2 linked regions of the Diceros bicornis minor genome follow. The protein of the gene in region 1 interacts with the protein of each later gene in a biochemical or structural test. Links are inferred from orthologs where the notes say so. Each region holds a gene or a part of one and is shown in the gene's direction. Other genes may lie near its edges.

What was found. The genes of interacting proteins can lie anywhere in the genome.
Region 2: the proteins of NOXO1 (region 1) and cytochrome b-245 light chain form a complex in vitro, tested with the Homo sapiens proteins (3 studies listed by IntAct). The link is inferred for Diceros bicornis minor from reciprocal best matches to the Homo sapiens genes NOXO1 and CYBA.

What each region holds. Positions count from the first base shown.
Region 1 is NC_080765.1:46,422,602-46,430,230, forward strand, and holds the start of NOXO1 (NADPH oxidase organizer 1), read left to right. Parts: upstream 1-4,620; 5' UTR 4,621-4,682; intron 4,683-5,930; 5' UTR 5,931-6,008; intron 6,009-6,181; 5' UTR 6,182-7,478; coding exon 7,479-7,544; intron 7,545-7,629. Other genes in the region: GFER (FAD-linked sulfhydryl oxidase ALR), read right to left, coding at 1,997-2,159, 3,048-3,244, 3,597-3,854. UniProt on the Homo sapiens protein: Constitutively potentiates the superoxide-generating activity of NOX1 and NOX3 and is required for the biogenesis of otoconia/otolith, which are crystalline structures of the inner ear involved in the perception of gravity.
Region 2 is NC_080771.1:37,109,523-37,116,411, reverse strand, and holds the start of cytochrome b-245 light chain, read left to right. Parts: upstream 1-3,871; 5' UTR 3,872-3,943; coding exon 3,944-4,001; intron 4,002-6,889. Other genes in the region: MVD (diphosphomevalonate decarboxylase), read left to right, coding at 130-245, 1,199-1,307, 1,951-2,031. UniProt on the Homo sapiens protein: Subunit of NADPH oxidase complexes that is required for the NADPH oxidase activity that generates, in various cell types, superoxide from molecular oxygen utilizing NADPH as an electron donor.

The sequences.
Region 1 (7,629 bases):
TTCCCCTCCAGCTGTCCCAAGTCACTGCTCCCCTTAGTCCAGGGGCAGTTCAGACACTGCCCTCCCCACCTTTCTGGAAATGCTTCTGATGTCACCCTCTCCTCGAGTTCCTCCTACTTCATGGGCCCTTTCTTGTCACCCTGTTCTGATTCCTTCCTCTTGTTCCACCTGTGACCTTGAAGCTGTAGTGGCCCCAGGGCGTGGTCTAGGGGCTCTTCTCCTCCCTCTATGCTCACTCCCTTGGTCTACGTGCTGACAGCTCGAGCCAGAACATTCCCTTGAACTAGAGCCCCACTTGTCTTAGCGTGGATGCCCTGGCAAAGTCTGTGGCAAAGTTAAGAGTTTTATTGGGGGTGAAACTTCGGGGAAGCCCGAGTTGGGGGAAAAGGGAAATGAGGCGGGGCAGGAGGGAGGACAAATACGGGCAGTATGTTCCTGAGCGAACCACAGGGAAGGCCAGGGAGAAGCCCTGTGCTGGGGACAGTCCATCTGGGAGAGGAAGGAGTGACTTCTGTGCTGACTGCTCCCCACCTATTTGTGTCACCCAGCCCCTCTGGGAAGCCCCTGCAGAAGCCAGCACCCCTGTGGGGCCAGTTGGGTGAAGGAGCTGAGGAGGCCAGGCCAAAGGCTGGCCTGTGCCTAGGGAGAGGCGGAGGCGCCGTGGGGATATAGGTGACCAGAGCTTTATGACCACAGGGACGGGGCACACTTGCTGGGCCACTCCAGCTGGGAGCCAAGGCCTGGGAGCAGGTGTGGCTGAGTGGATCCGGGCAGGCCCCAAAGCAGGGTCTAGGTCACCCCCAAACCTGCTCCACTTACAGCCTTCTCCATCTCCCTGCTACACAGAACAGCTCCACCCTTCCAGCTTCTCAGGCTGGAACCCTGAAGTGACCTTTGGCTCCTTTCTCTTGGTTCTACATTCAGAGTCTATCCACTGTCTTCTCCATCCGACAGGGCGAGCTTCCCTCTTAGCTGCCGCAGGGGTGCCTGCCTCATCCCAGCTCAGCAGCCAGAGAGAACTTTCAAGTCACATCTCACCTTTCCTTGGCTCCAAGTCCTCCAAGACCTTCTTGTGACTGAAGCTGGATGTTAAAACCACATCCTTGCTGGGGCCTTGAAGACCTCGTGCCATCTGACCTCCCTCACCTCTCTGACCCTCCCTCGGCTCCAGCAACTTGGCCTCCTTGCTGTTCCTGGAATATCCTGGTCCACTCTTGCCGTGGGACCTCTCTTTCCTCCTAAGGAGCCAGAACCCAGACAGGAGGAAGCAGCTGACCACAGAGGACGAGGGCAGACCCTGTCCATCGCTGCAAGTCCCAGCACAAAACACACTGAAGCCAGGTCCTCAGTCACTTCTCCAGCACTTTATTTTGGTCTCAAGCTTCAAGGAAGCTGGCCCCATGAAGCCTCTGACAGGCCTGGTGCAGCTAGCGAAGGCAACGTGCTAGATGGGAGGCAGGCAACAGGGTCGGTGGACCCTCGGAGAAGAGCCCTGCCTGTGCTTTCCCTGTAGACTGAGCAGCGTAGAGAGCTCTCCCCCAGCCCTCTTTCCTGAAGTGCAGAGCTCGCACAGTCTCTGGGGCTACAGTCACTGCAGCTGTCCCCAGCTACATGGGAGGGGAGACAATGGCCAGGCCTGGCAGGGCAGCCCAGCCAGACCTGTCGCCGTCCTGTGGGAAAGTGGGCGCCAGGGTGTGGAGTGAGCAGGAGGCCACATCCTGAATGGAAGGGACAGTCTGGGCTGCTCCTGCCTCCTTCACCTGCAGCCCCACTGGGCCTCAGCTGAGGCGGCGGCCATCAGGGTACCTGCGCAGACACTTCCACTCCTACTGCAAATGTGGGAGGGAAAGGGCCCTGTGGGCAGTGTCTGGGGACCACCTAACTGAGACACGACAGGCTCTGGCTCTGACACACTTTAATGAGTGCCTTTCCCCTCTCCAGCCGGGCTGCCCACAGGCCCTGGCTGGCTGCCCCATGGACTCCTGCTGGCTGCCGTCTAGTCGCAGGAGCCGTCCTTCCAGCCATCACGCCAGCGCTCATCTACTTGCGAGCAGTCGAAGTCTGGCTTGCCTAGCTTGCGGTTCACCTCGTTGTGCAGGCGGCACAGCCACTGGGTGAAGCATGCGCGCGTGCGTGTATCTGGCTGGTTCCTGTGTATCCTGCATGGGGGGAGCAATGGAGGATGGGGGAGGCAGCGGGCCCCCTGCCCCTGCCCCACTAGCTCCTTGCCTGCTCCACCCAGGGAGGCGAGCAGGAGCGCTGCAGTGAGCTACACCCAGAAGTGCCCTTGTGCTGAGGGACAGGAATTCCCCAAACAGGGCGGACCCTGTGACACCCACCTGGGGAGCTTGGCAACCCTGACAAGAGCCCAGGGCAAGTCATTAAGGCACAGACCAGGCAACTTTACAACCTCAGAACCATTAGGAAGCCTCACCCCAGTGTCCTTTGCCCTGGGCAGTGTATGGAAGGGGTAGAGCCAGCACAAAGGCATAACTGAAAACCACACCTGTTTCTTAGCACCTGGGGCTCTGGAACCTCAGCTCAGTAAGAGACCTCATTCTAATTGCTCAGGCTTCAAAAGGCAAGGGCAGCCCTGCCCCACACATCCAGCCCAGAAACACCTAAGGGTGCCAAACAGCGGCTCTTAGGCTCCCCAGCGAGAAAAAGGTGGCTCTTGGAAGCAAAAGCTGTGGATTCTCAAGGTCTTGAAACCAGCAGTCCTGCTCCAGAAGTCAGGCAAAGTGAAGTCATCCTTAACCTGCAGGAGCCTCCATCAGTGCTAAGCAAGGGGTCTCATGGGGGAAGCCCTCCCCGGGAGCCCTGTGGCTGCAAAAGCACCCGGCAGTAGACCCAGGCTGCTTGGCCTCTACAGGGAAAGGAGATGGCTCAGATGATCCAATCCCCACTCTGTTGGTGGTCCCCGCTGTCCGAAGCCCTCTGCCACCTCTGCACCTATTTCTCTAGGTTCCCCTTTATGACATCAGCCAGGGGACCCAGGCTCCAGGTGGCATGCTCTCCTGCCTGCAAATGATGCAGACGTAACTTACCTCTTCCTTATGTCTTCTGCACACTCCTCACACGGGTAAAATTTAGAAAATAAATGTATGAACTGGGCCATGTCTTGCTGCTGTTCTGGGGTGGGCAGGTCCGGGTAGTAGGCGGCCAGGGTGTGAAGGACAGCCCAGCTATGGCGACCCAGTTCCTCACGATCCTGAGGACAATCTTCTCTAAACTTGCTGTCCTGCTGCGGAAGGAGACCGACCAAAGGTCAGTTCAGTCTCCCCCGACCAGAAGCCCACAAAGCTCCTCTTTTTCCCACCCTAGCCGGAAACCTATTGACTCGAGACAGAAATCCTGCAGCCGATCTGGCCCACGTGTGGCTGAAAGCTGAAAGGCCAGGCCCACCTTGGGGTTAGGACTTAGTGACAGGCAACCCTGGTAAGCATAAGTCTGCAGGCATGGGGCCTGTGGGACCGCTCGGCCTGGGCCTTGGGAGGTCTGCCCAGGGCGCCTGAGAACAAGGTGTGGGGGCCGGGGCTAGGGGTCGGCAGAGCTCGCGGGCCTCTGCGGGAGGTGGCACCCCCGGGCATCTGAACCTTCTGCTGCGTCCGCATCCAGGTCTTGAAGTCTACGCAAGCCCGGCAGGGCCGCCTCTGGGAGGTGTCCTCGGCGACCTGAGAATCGGTCGGCGCCTGGGCTGGCGTCGGGGCTGAGGCGGCGGCATCTCTCCGCCCCGCGCCCCGGCCGCGCGCGTCCGTCACTAGGTCGTCCATCACCTCGGAGCGCGCGCCGCCAGGCAAGAAAGAGAAGAGGTTCCCGCCGTAGAAGCGCCTCCCCTCCCCGGGCGCCGCCATGTTGCCCGCGCAATGCCTGCCGGGCCAGCTCGGTCTCCAGAAGGGCCTCCAAGTCGGCCTCCAGGCCAGCGCGCGCGCCGCCGCCAGGGCGCGGCCACAGGAGCTGGGCGCAGGCGCGGGGGCTTGGGCCGAGTTGGGCGCGGGGGCGGGGCCCGGAGCCGGAGCCGGAGCCGGGGCGGGGGCCGGCGTGGAGGCGGGGCCGGGAGCTGCGGCCCGCGCCCGAGAGGAGGCGGAGCTGGAGGCCGGGGTTCGGGCCAAGGACGCACCGCAAGCCCGGGCCAGGGTGGAGGCGGGGCCGGTGGCCCGGGCCGGGGCGGAGGCGGGGCCAGAGGCCCGGCTCTTGGCCGCGCCCCTGGGCCTCGTTCCGCGGCCCGAGCCCGGCTTGCGTCGTCCGTGGCGGCGCTCCCGCTTTCTCCAGTAGAAGATCAGCGTGTGGTGGAAGCCGCGCCGCGGCTGCGCCGAGGACTCGGACGGCGGCCCAGGCGCCGTCCGTGTTGCAGCCCGCGACGGCCCCATCACTCCGCTCTGACCCGTCCGCGTGCCCGCAGCCAGGCTTTGTGCCCTCAGCTGGGGGCGCGCCCAGCGGCAGGCCGCGCGGTGCCATGGCAACGCGGGCAGGGCCCTGAGCGCACAGAGGACCGCGCTCTAGGACCCGGGTCCCACGGATCTGCCCTGGCGACCGGCGCCATGGCAACGAGCGCCTGGCAACGCTGGGAGGGGCGGTGCCGGCTGAGAACTCTGCGCGTGTCTCGGCTGCCGGGGGCACCGAGCGGCCCCGGATCATTAACCTGCATAAAGGGGTTACACCCACGTCGGGAGTGTCCTCAGGTATACCTTTGCTTCCATATGTACATTCATTCATTCCGCAAATATTTGTGTAATGCCTAATCTGTTCCAAGCACTGTTACAGGCGCTGGGCAGGGCGGGGCACAAGATCTGTCCCTGACCTGCTCAGTTCATAGTGTGGGGGATTAGAGTTGGCCACCCCAAAATGTGTCTCTTTGGCGTGAGGGTTATTTTGGGCTGATGAGCATTATTACTTTAAAAAACTGCAGACATGGGAGAAACTCTGAAAAGTAGAATTTACCCTTTGTAGGAGACATTTACATTTGTAAGGGAAATCTCCATCTGTAAAGGTATCTCCCTCTTTGTATCAGGAAGAAGAGGGGATGACCTTATCTCTAGCAACTCATTCATGCAGAAGGCAAGGACTTAAATCTGCATAATAACCTTACTCTTGTTTACTGTGCTTTTCTGGTAATCTCCCATAACTGACCCCCACCCCCCCAGCCCGGCCCCCAACTGTCTAAAAGAAATTTAAGATAGAAGGCCTGTCCCCAGGACAGGCCATCACCATAGATAACTCTAGATATCAGTAGACTGGGAGGGTCCTTGCTAAATCCATTCTTATCAAAGTTCTGTTTACCAAACATTTGCTTTTCCAGTTCCATGTGAATTGTTTTCCTCCCCTTTGAAGTCCCAAACCACTGCCCCCAACATCTTCCTTTGTCTTTAGCTGAAGATGGTATTTAAGATGAGAGCCTCCACCATTTTGTGGAGTTACCCAGTTTTTCCTGGGTCTCTACCATGTATACGTGTTATAAAGCTTTGTTTAATTTTCTCCTGTTATTCTGTCTCATGTCAATTTAATTCATACTCCAGCCAGAAGCACCCAGAGGGTAGAGGAAATCTCTTCTCTACAATAGTCCAGTCAAGACAGAAAAAACAAAAACAAAAATAGGAGTCACCATAGTAAATGTTCACTTACATACTGTGATGAGGGCCATGAATAGGGCATGGTGAATTGGGGAGGCTTCCCTGAGAATGAGGAATCAACTGAGGAGGGCAGTCAAGGCTGAAGCTGGAGGTGGGAGGGCCTTGGCCTCTTGCATGGGCAGAAAGGCCAGTGGGGCAGGACCTGAGGAGGGTGGTGGGAGGGGAGGTCCAGAGGTGGCCAGAGGCCCACCAAGGACCTCATAGGCTACCATGGGAGCTAGGAATTTATTCTAAGGACAGTAGGAAGATGCTGGACAGTTTTGGGCAGGGCTACACCAACCTGCAAAATCTCTTTTGCAGATTCCTCTGGAGAGTGGATTTCATGGGACCAAGTGAGGAGCGCAGGCATTGGGGGAGGGGGCTGTTGTAGTTGTTCAGGTGAGAGATGAGGGTAGGGAATATGGAGAGGGTAAGAGTGGGAAGGACCAAGGATTGCTGAGGGTGTGGAGCAGGGTCTGCCCATTGAGGGAGGGAGGGGACCTCAGAGTCCTTCTAGGTCCCTGGCTGTGAGCAAACTGGCTCTTCCCCACCTTCTCTCCTCTGTCTTCCAGGGGAGCAGAGTCTGTTCCACCCTGGATCCTGCCAGGCCAGCAGAGCCCTCAGGCCCTCAGCGTGGCTCCTCTGAAGTTCAGGAGAGTGTGACAGCCAGGCAAGAGGCACTCTGCGAATCAGGCCTGTGTCAGCAGGTGTTCATTGCCTAGGCCAAGACCAGGGAAGGTTTACAGGTTCAGAGAGAGTCACTGGTCAGACAGACAAACAAAGGCCCTCTGTCAAGGCCAGAGTGGTTTCCTGGAGGGATGCCCTAGAGTCTGACCCCTCCCTGGAGGACTTGGAGTAGGGGGAATCCCAACACAAAGCTGGTGGCCCCAACAGCAGGAAGAACCACTGTGCGCCAGGGTTGGCTGGGGCTCTGGAAATCACCCCTATAAGGAAGCAGTCCAGAGAGGTGAGGCACCTGGGCATGCCCTCTTTGGGGATTCCAGGATATTCCCCTCACCACCCCAGTTAGTGAGGGAATGGTCACTCCTGATCTCAGAGGCAGTGTTTGCAGGTAATTGTGATAAATCATGAATTAGAGGCAGCTCTCAACAGTCCTAGTCACCACCTCCCCCAACCCCCAAGTGTGGGTGACTGCAGAGATGGACCCTCTTCCTCCTGCCTTGTCTGCACCACAGGGGAACCTCTGAGGTGAGCCTGTGAGGTCCGACCCTCCCCAACACAGACAGAAAAACTGACATTAATTATCCATTTAACACAAATTTCCTCCTCTCTGACTTGAGGACACTAAGAGACCTTTCCTCCAACGTGAGGATTAAGCCAAATAAGGCACTTAAAGCCCTTAGCACTGGGCCATTGTTTCCTGATGACAACTGCAGTCAGCTCCCCAGGTGGGTTCAAAGACAGAGCCAGCGGAGGCATCCCCTGCCCACAGGCTCTCAGCAGCCCCAGCACTGCATGGGGCGTGGACAGGCGGGAGGGGTGGGCCAGGCCTGGGGGCCCTTTGATGGCTCTTCCTTCTCCTCCTCCTCCTTGGCGGACGGGAAAGAGGGCCTCAGGCAGCAGTCCTGGCACCTCCACCACCTCTTCCCTCCCCCTCTCACCAGCTCTGCCTTGGGCACCCCCCGCGCCCTGTGCTCCTGCCCCTCCACCCAGATCTTTGGCTTTGGGCACAGCGAGGAAGCTGCGAAGAACCGAGGAGCAGGGCAGCACTGCAAGGACCTGGCAGGTCTAGGGCGTTGCTGGGGAATTCCAACCAGTCTTCCGGGTGCGGGGGATCCCCCTCCTCTGAGAGGGTAGGGAGGCAGCGGGCTCAAGAAGCTGGCGACCGGGACTCAAGAGGCCACAGCGATGGCAGGCCCCCGGCACCCCGTGTCCGTGCGCGCTGCGGCCTTGGTGCAGACAGAGCGGTTCCAGGTACAACCCGACGGGGTCCCCGCCGGCTCCAATGGGGAGGGAGAGAGTTCTCGGCCCAGCCCCTTGGAGACGCCCGCAACCTTTC
Region 2 (6,889 bases), on another chromosome or scaffold:
CGCCGGCGCTTGGGAGCTGGTCTGGGCCCCAGCCCTGCAGTGGGAGGCCGGGGTCTCCGAGGCAGATGAGAGGGGCTGAGCCGGGCACAGCCACCATGCAGACTGTCACGGTGACCACCTGGCTTCCAGGTGGCGTACACATTCGATGCGGGCCCCAACGCCGTGATCTTCACCCTGGACAACACCGTGGCCGAGTTTGTGGCTGCAGTAAGGCACAGCTTCCCCCCCAAGTCCAACGGAGACAAGTGAGTCCTGTGGGTCCCCCCATTTGGGAGGCCGTGGAGGGAGGAGCGGGGTCTTCTGCTGAGATTGGGGTGCTGAACAGGGAATCCCACAACAGGCGTTGATCCCCCGGGGACCACAGGCAGCGTGTCACCAAGTGTGCCTAGCTGTGATTGTGGATGCATCTCCATCATGTCCCAGCCCCGTGATCACATGCACACTCCCCAGTGCAGCATCACAACTCCTGTGTGGACGCGCCTGTGGCCCCGCTGTGACAATGGCATTTGGGTTCCCTCCACCCCGCTGTTCTCACGTTCTCTGTTCTCAGCTGGGGACACCTCCCTGCTGGGCCTGCTGGAAGTGTGTGGGCTCGTCTTGTCTGTCACCATCACTGAGGCAGCACTGACATCTGGGGGGCGGGGGCTGGAATTCTAGCCTCCCCCCTGTGGGACAGTCCCAGAGGCCAAGGGGCCTCTGATCTCACTGCCCTGTCCCCCGAGGGGTGGTTTGCAGATCCTCGCTGTCCTGAGGGACACGGGGACAGACCCACGCCTACACTGAAGCATTTCCCTAAGCAGAGCTGCCCCGCTGGGCATAGCAGTAGCCATGGGCTAGGAATGAAAGGACACCGAAACCCTGCAGAGGTTTTCTGAAACTGTCCCCTCACGTGACCCCAGCCAGGCCCTCGGTCATCCCTGCTTAGGTTTTTTTGTGGTAAAATACACATAACATACAATTACCATCTTGACCGCTTTGAAGCGTACAGACCAGTGGTGTTAAGTACAGTCAGTGTCATGCAACCAGCACTTCCCTCTAGTTCCAGAACTTTTCATCACCCCAAAAGAAACCCCATGCCCATTGGCAGTCACAACCCACCCCCAGCGCCCAGCAGCCACTTCTGTGCTTCCTGTGTGGACCTGCCTGTTCTGAGACCCCCCTGTCGATGGATCCCCGTACGACCTGCCTTCCTTTTCAGGTTTCTGAAAGGGCTGCCCGTGAGGCCTGCCCCGCTCTCAGACGAGCTTAAAGCTGCACTGGGCATGGACCCCACCCCGGGAGGCGTCAAATACATCATAGCCACTCAGGTGAGGCCTGGTACCTGGCCCTCGGCCCAGCACAGTGGGCAGGGGCGTCCACCCGGCGAAAGGCTCCCTTCACGCCCTGCCTCGGCAGGAAGCCGGCTTGCTAACAGCAGAGGAGCAGCAGTGACGGCCCCGTCAGTCCTCAGAGCATGTGGCCCATTGCGGTTTGTTTCATCCAGTCTCTCGCTCACCTTCAAAGTGGACATTGAAGGACACCCTGCGAGGGGCGGTGCTGAGGGTGGACAGCAGGACTGGGATGGTGGAGACTTGGGATAGGCAGGTGCTGGGGATCCTGGGGACCCTTGGGCCTCCCCCCCCACCCCCCCAGAGCGGTTCAGGATTCCTGCTCAGAGTGCTGAGCCAGGATTTCACTCGGATCCGCCCTATTCCAGGTTCCATGACCTTTGCACCCAGGCTGTGGTCTCACCTCCGCCCTGGGACTCACTGTCCACCCTGAGTCTGGGTGACGGGGGCCGACTGACCGGGCACTCGCAGTGGGGAGACCACGTGGCTCTGCGCGAAGGAGCTGGGACAAGGCCTGGGACAAGGCAGATGTTAGCTTCTGACCTCACTTACCTAGCAGGTGGGGGGTACATTCTGTCCCTCCCTGTCCCCCTGACCTGACATTGATTCCTGTACACCCCAGGTAGGGCCTGGGCCTCAAATCCTGGACGACCCTCACGCTCACCTCCTGGGTCCCGATGGCCTGCCGAAGCCAGCTGTTTGACTGCCTCCTCGACGGGAGCCCCGGCTGCTGCTTGGGAAGGGGACGCTTCGCTGGGACTGGGGAACCGGGTGTGGCAGCCGACCAGGCTGTGCTTGTTGGGACTTGTGGGTGGCCGCCTGGCTCCGAGCCGGGCAATGTGCTGTGGTTGAGTTGGGGCAGTGGACTGGCCACCTGCAGTTGTCCAGGTGGTGAGGAGCAGCCCTGCCCCCTGTGCCTCACCCTTCCCAGCCTTCACCCAGCCCTTTGCCAAGATGAGAGCTGGGAGGGGAGCTGGGAGCAGCTCAACACCTGAGGACCAAGCCAGCTGGGAGTGGAGCTGCCAGGGGAGCATCCTGGGGAAGGGGTCTCTGGCCCCGCGCTCTGGGCTGCTCCCACTGCCCCGGAACAGCAGCTCGATCATTGGCGATGACGGGGAGTCAGGCGTCCGTCCTCGGAGCCGGAGGACAGGTCACTGTGCAGGGAGCAGCCTCCACAGGCCTCCAGAAACCTCCACCAAGTGGTTCCAGCATGATGGCCGCCAGGGCTTCTCTGCCAGGCTGGGGGCCAGACCTTGAGCTTGGGCCACAAGGTGTGGATGGAACGTTTCTCTATAAGAAGGCCTGTAGTGTGCCTCGGGCGGGAGGTGGGAGAGCAGCACCAAGGTTCCAGCATCCTCTGGGAGCCCCTGTGGCCGGCCACTGGGAATAAAGCCAGCGTGGGTGACTTCCTGCTGGTGCTTCTGCTTGGTTCCTGCGCAGTGTTCCGGGGTCCCTGCTCTGAGGGCCTGTGCCGGGCAGTGGGCAGCACTCACCCAGAGGACCAGGGAGGGCCTGGGCAGCGCCTCCCCTCCTGCTGTCTTCTGCCCCTTGAGCTCCCCTTCAGTTACCCAGCCGTTCGCCCCGCCCACTTCCTAAAGATCTGCGCGGGCGGGCGGTGGAGGAGGAGCTAGGCACCTGCCCTCCCACCCGCCTCTCCCTACTCCCCTGAGGGTCGGATGCCCCAGGGCGGGTGAGGCTGCTGCCTGGAGCGGGTTCTGGTCTGTGACCCTGAATGAGGCAGGCGGAGGAGGGACATGCACTCCTGCATTGAGGATTTCCCCAGAAGCTTCTCACGTGCTGTCCCCTCCCTGTTAGTCCTGTGAGCAGAGGGCTGCCTGTAGTCTGCCAGAGGAGAAAGTGGGGACTGGACCTGCCACCGTCCTTAGTCGCTGATCTCCAGAGAGGGAGGGGCTGCCCAGGCTCAAGGGGCTCCTGTCTGAGGCCCTGCTCCTTGATGGGGAGACCACAGTGGACATGGTGAAGGCTCTGGACCTTTGTAAACCCTTTTGGGAACCCGACCTGCTCACACCTTTTCTGGGTGAAGCCCCATAGACACCTGCGGGACCCTTGGTCTGGAAGCTCCAGAGAGAGCTCAGCGTTGTGGGGGTGACTCTGCCTCCTGAGACAGGCTGCTCCCCTTGTGGCACAGCCCACCAGGAACCACCCTTGTCACAAGCCCCCGGAGATGCTTAGGAAGCCCCGATTAACGGCAGAGGGCAGAGCTGGCAGGGTAGGCGCCTGGCACAAAGTGAGCATCAAATGGTGGCCTCCCTGCGGGGCGCCCGAGGAGGTGCTGGAAGGAGGAAGTGAGCGGGCGGCCTGGGCCTCGGAGGCTGGACCCGGCACGCAGAGCCCGCCGAGGAAGCCGGCCCAGTGGGGCTGGGCCTCATCCTGAGCTCCCGGGCCGGGCTCTCGGGGAGCAAGTCTCCTGCGTCAGCACCCCGAGACGTCGGATCCCACCGGCCCAGCCAGTCTGTCTCCTGGGGGCTGGGGGCGGGGCGAACGGCCGGGGGCGGGGCGGGGCCGGAACTCGGGCCGGGACGCGGCGGAGGGGCGGAGGGGCGAGAGGCCAGGCGGGAGCGCGGCCGCGGAGTCCGAGCTGAGCCGCCGCCGCCATGGGGCAGATCGAGTGGGCCATGTGGGCCAACGAGCAGGCACTGGCGTCCGGCCTGAGTGAGTGCACCCGGGATCCCGCGCTTGGGGCGGGGGCTGAGCCTGGGCACCCGGGGGCCCGAGACCCCGGGCTGCGGCCCCGGCAGTGCAGGCTGGAGTCGTGGGCATCGGGAGTCAGCGGGTTGCGGGCTGGGAAGTGGGAGTCCAGGAGACTCCAGACTGCAGGCCGAGGAAAGGGGCGGGCTCGAGATGGGGTGCGGGGAGCTAGGCTCCTGAGAGGTCAGAGACCCCGGGCTGCGGGCGAGAAAGTGGGAGCTGAAGCCTGGGGTGGGGGCTTGAGATTCCAGCCAGGGACCTGCAGCTGTGGGGCGGGCCCGGGGCGGGGCGGGCTGGAGCCTGGCGGGGCAGTCAGAGACCTCAGACTGCAGAGGGGGTTCAGAGACCCTCCAGCCCCTGCAGACCCGTGCAGCACCCCACCCCACTCCCATTCCCCCCGTCCCATCCCCTGGCCCTTAGATGTCCCCTCTTCACTCCCCCACCCCCGCGCAGAAGTGGAAGAGGAAGTTTCAGCCCGGTGGTTTCCGGGGAGTCACCACCCCTCAGAGTTGGGAAAACCCCATGGGACAACCTGCCCCACGGCCCCTCCTGCACTGGAGTAGGGGCTTCAGCCAGGAGGTTGCCAGGGGCTCCACCTCCGGGGTCCTAGGTTGCACAGTGGGCTCCTCCTGCGCTCTGGCGAGGGACTCAGCTCCTGGGGTGGTGACCACTCTCCCTCTGGGGCCCAGCCCAAGTCTGCACGGAAGGACATCTAGGATTTCACAAGGCTCTTGGAAACCACCCAGAAGGAGCCCCTCCCAGCTCAATTCCAGGAGACTGCTTCTGGGGAAGGATGGCAGGGCCCCTCCACCCTGGCCGCCTTGTGTTCAGGAGCTCTGGTTAGGGAGCAGTGGGGTCTGCTCCCCAATTTGCAATTGGAAGCAGGAACCACTCAAGAGGGGGCAGGTTCTGAGGCAAGAGGAAGCTGCTCAGAGGCTCTGCCCCCCTTACCTCTGGGGACCTGCCCCTCGCAGGAAGGACCTATGCCCAGTGGGAGTGGCTGGGAAGAGTGTGAGAATGTGATGAGGAAGAGGGTCCCAGCCACCACCGTTTACCTGGGACCCACCTCAAGGCCCCCTTGCCACCTGGGCATGGATGAGCGGAGGTGAAGCTCTGGGAGGGAAAGGAGCAGAGGGAGATGAAGGCTCCCCAGCACGCCCACTGTCAGATCACATTTTGGGATGGGCAGCTTTGGAGCACGGGGCCCAGTGGTCTGTTCTGTGTGTCCAGGCAGGTCACCCCTGTTTCTGCTTCTAGAGTGGCTGAGAAATCAGTGGGTCAGGTAGTTCCCATTGCTTCTCCCCAGAGCTGTCCCAGGCTGTCCCTCTGCTTGTTGAGGGCTGTGAGGTCTTAGACTGCTGCAGACCAGCCTCCCTTCCTCCCACAGCTCCCCACCCCCCAGGAAGTAGAGAGCAACGGAGGGCAGCTCCCTGAGAGCTGGGCGGCCTGCGTTCTATCGCCCGCGGGCGCAGATAGTGACTGTCCCGTGGCCCCATCCATTGCACGCCCCACATGTGCAGGCTTTCTCTGCCCTGCCTTAGCTAATGTCTGAGCTCCTGTCCACTTTACAGACAGTGAGGTCAAGACCTAGGGAAGTTACCAGCTATGGCTTAGTTTCCTCCACCATCAGATGGGGCGATGTGTCGGGCGGTCTCCTGGATCCTTCCTGCTCTGAATTCCTCCTTGTGCTGACTTCTCTTCCTGACTCAGGATCAACTGCAGCCACCTGGCCTGCTCAGGACTGGCCAGGCCCTCCCAACAGTCTCCTCGAACAGGCTTCTTTTTTATGGTAGAAAATCCCATCTAATCAGATCATGTCACCTCCTGCCAAAAACCCTCCAGCTGCTTCCCATTGCGAAGAATAAAAGCCCAATTCTGACCGCTCTGCCCCTGCTCCCTCTCAGTGCCCTCCCTTCCCCTCCTGTGTGTCCTTGGGTCTCCCTAGCACACTGCAGGGCCTCTGCAGGAATGGCCTCTGGAGCGTCCGTGGCTGGCTCCTCCATTTCTTGGGTCAGATGAAGACTTGGCTCGGAGAAATTGTTCCAGAGCACCCAGCCTGTGGTAGCCCCAGACATTTCTGTCACATCCCTTGTTCCAGGTCACCACTACCTGATATTTATTTCTGTCCCCGCATGAGACTGTAAGCCCCGTGAGAGCTGAGGCGTGTCTGTCTTGTCCCTGCAGCATCCCAGCACTCCCAGGGACCCCTGCACGCAGTAGGTAGCGTCCTCATGCCTCCCTGGTGAGCCAGTGGTGTCTCAGCCCCCTCTTGCTCACGGGAGGCAGCGAGCCTGAAGCTCAGGACGGGGAGGTTACACCCCGGGACGAGTGGACCGTGTGCTGCCTGAACACATGAGGAGGCCGCCCTCATCTCTTGCAGCTCACAGAAGTGCTGACCAGCAAACCCAGAGTTAACACGCTGCTGAGCTCAACCCCAAGAATGGGAAACCTGCTGGCAGCAGACGCAGACTGCGGGTCAAGGTGCTGCGCTGGGGCGGAAGGAAGGGGCCTGGGGAAGTGGACCCCCGGGCTCAGGCTTTCCTGTGTGGGAAAGGGCTGTGTGAGCTGCGTGCTGAAGCCAGAGCCAGGAGGGGCTGCCTGTGTAAGAAAGAGCTAGAAAGCCACCCCTCCAAGGAAGCTTGCTATCTGCTGCCGGGGCCTGGAAGAAGAAGGTCACAAACAAGACAAAACCCGAGAAACTGCTGTGCACGGGGTGAGGCTGACTGTTCTCTACCCTGGGACCAAGAAATCCAAATCCACTGGGTTCAGGACTGGAGAAGCCCATAGGCCCCCAGCAGAGGCAAAGGTGAAGTCGTCTATTGGGGCATTTCCTCAACCAGGGCACACGAGAC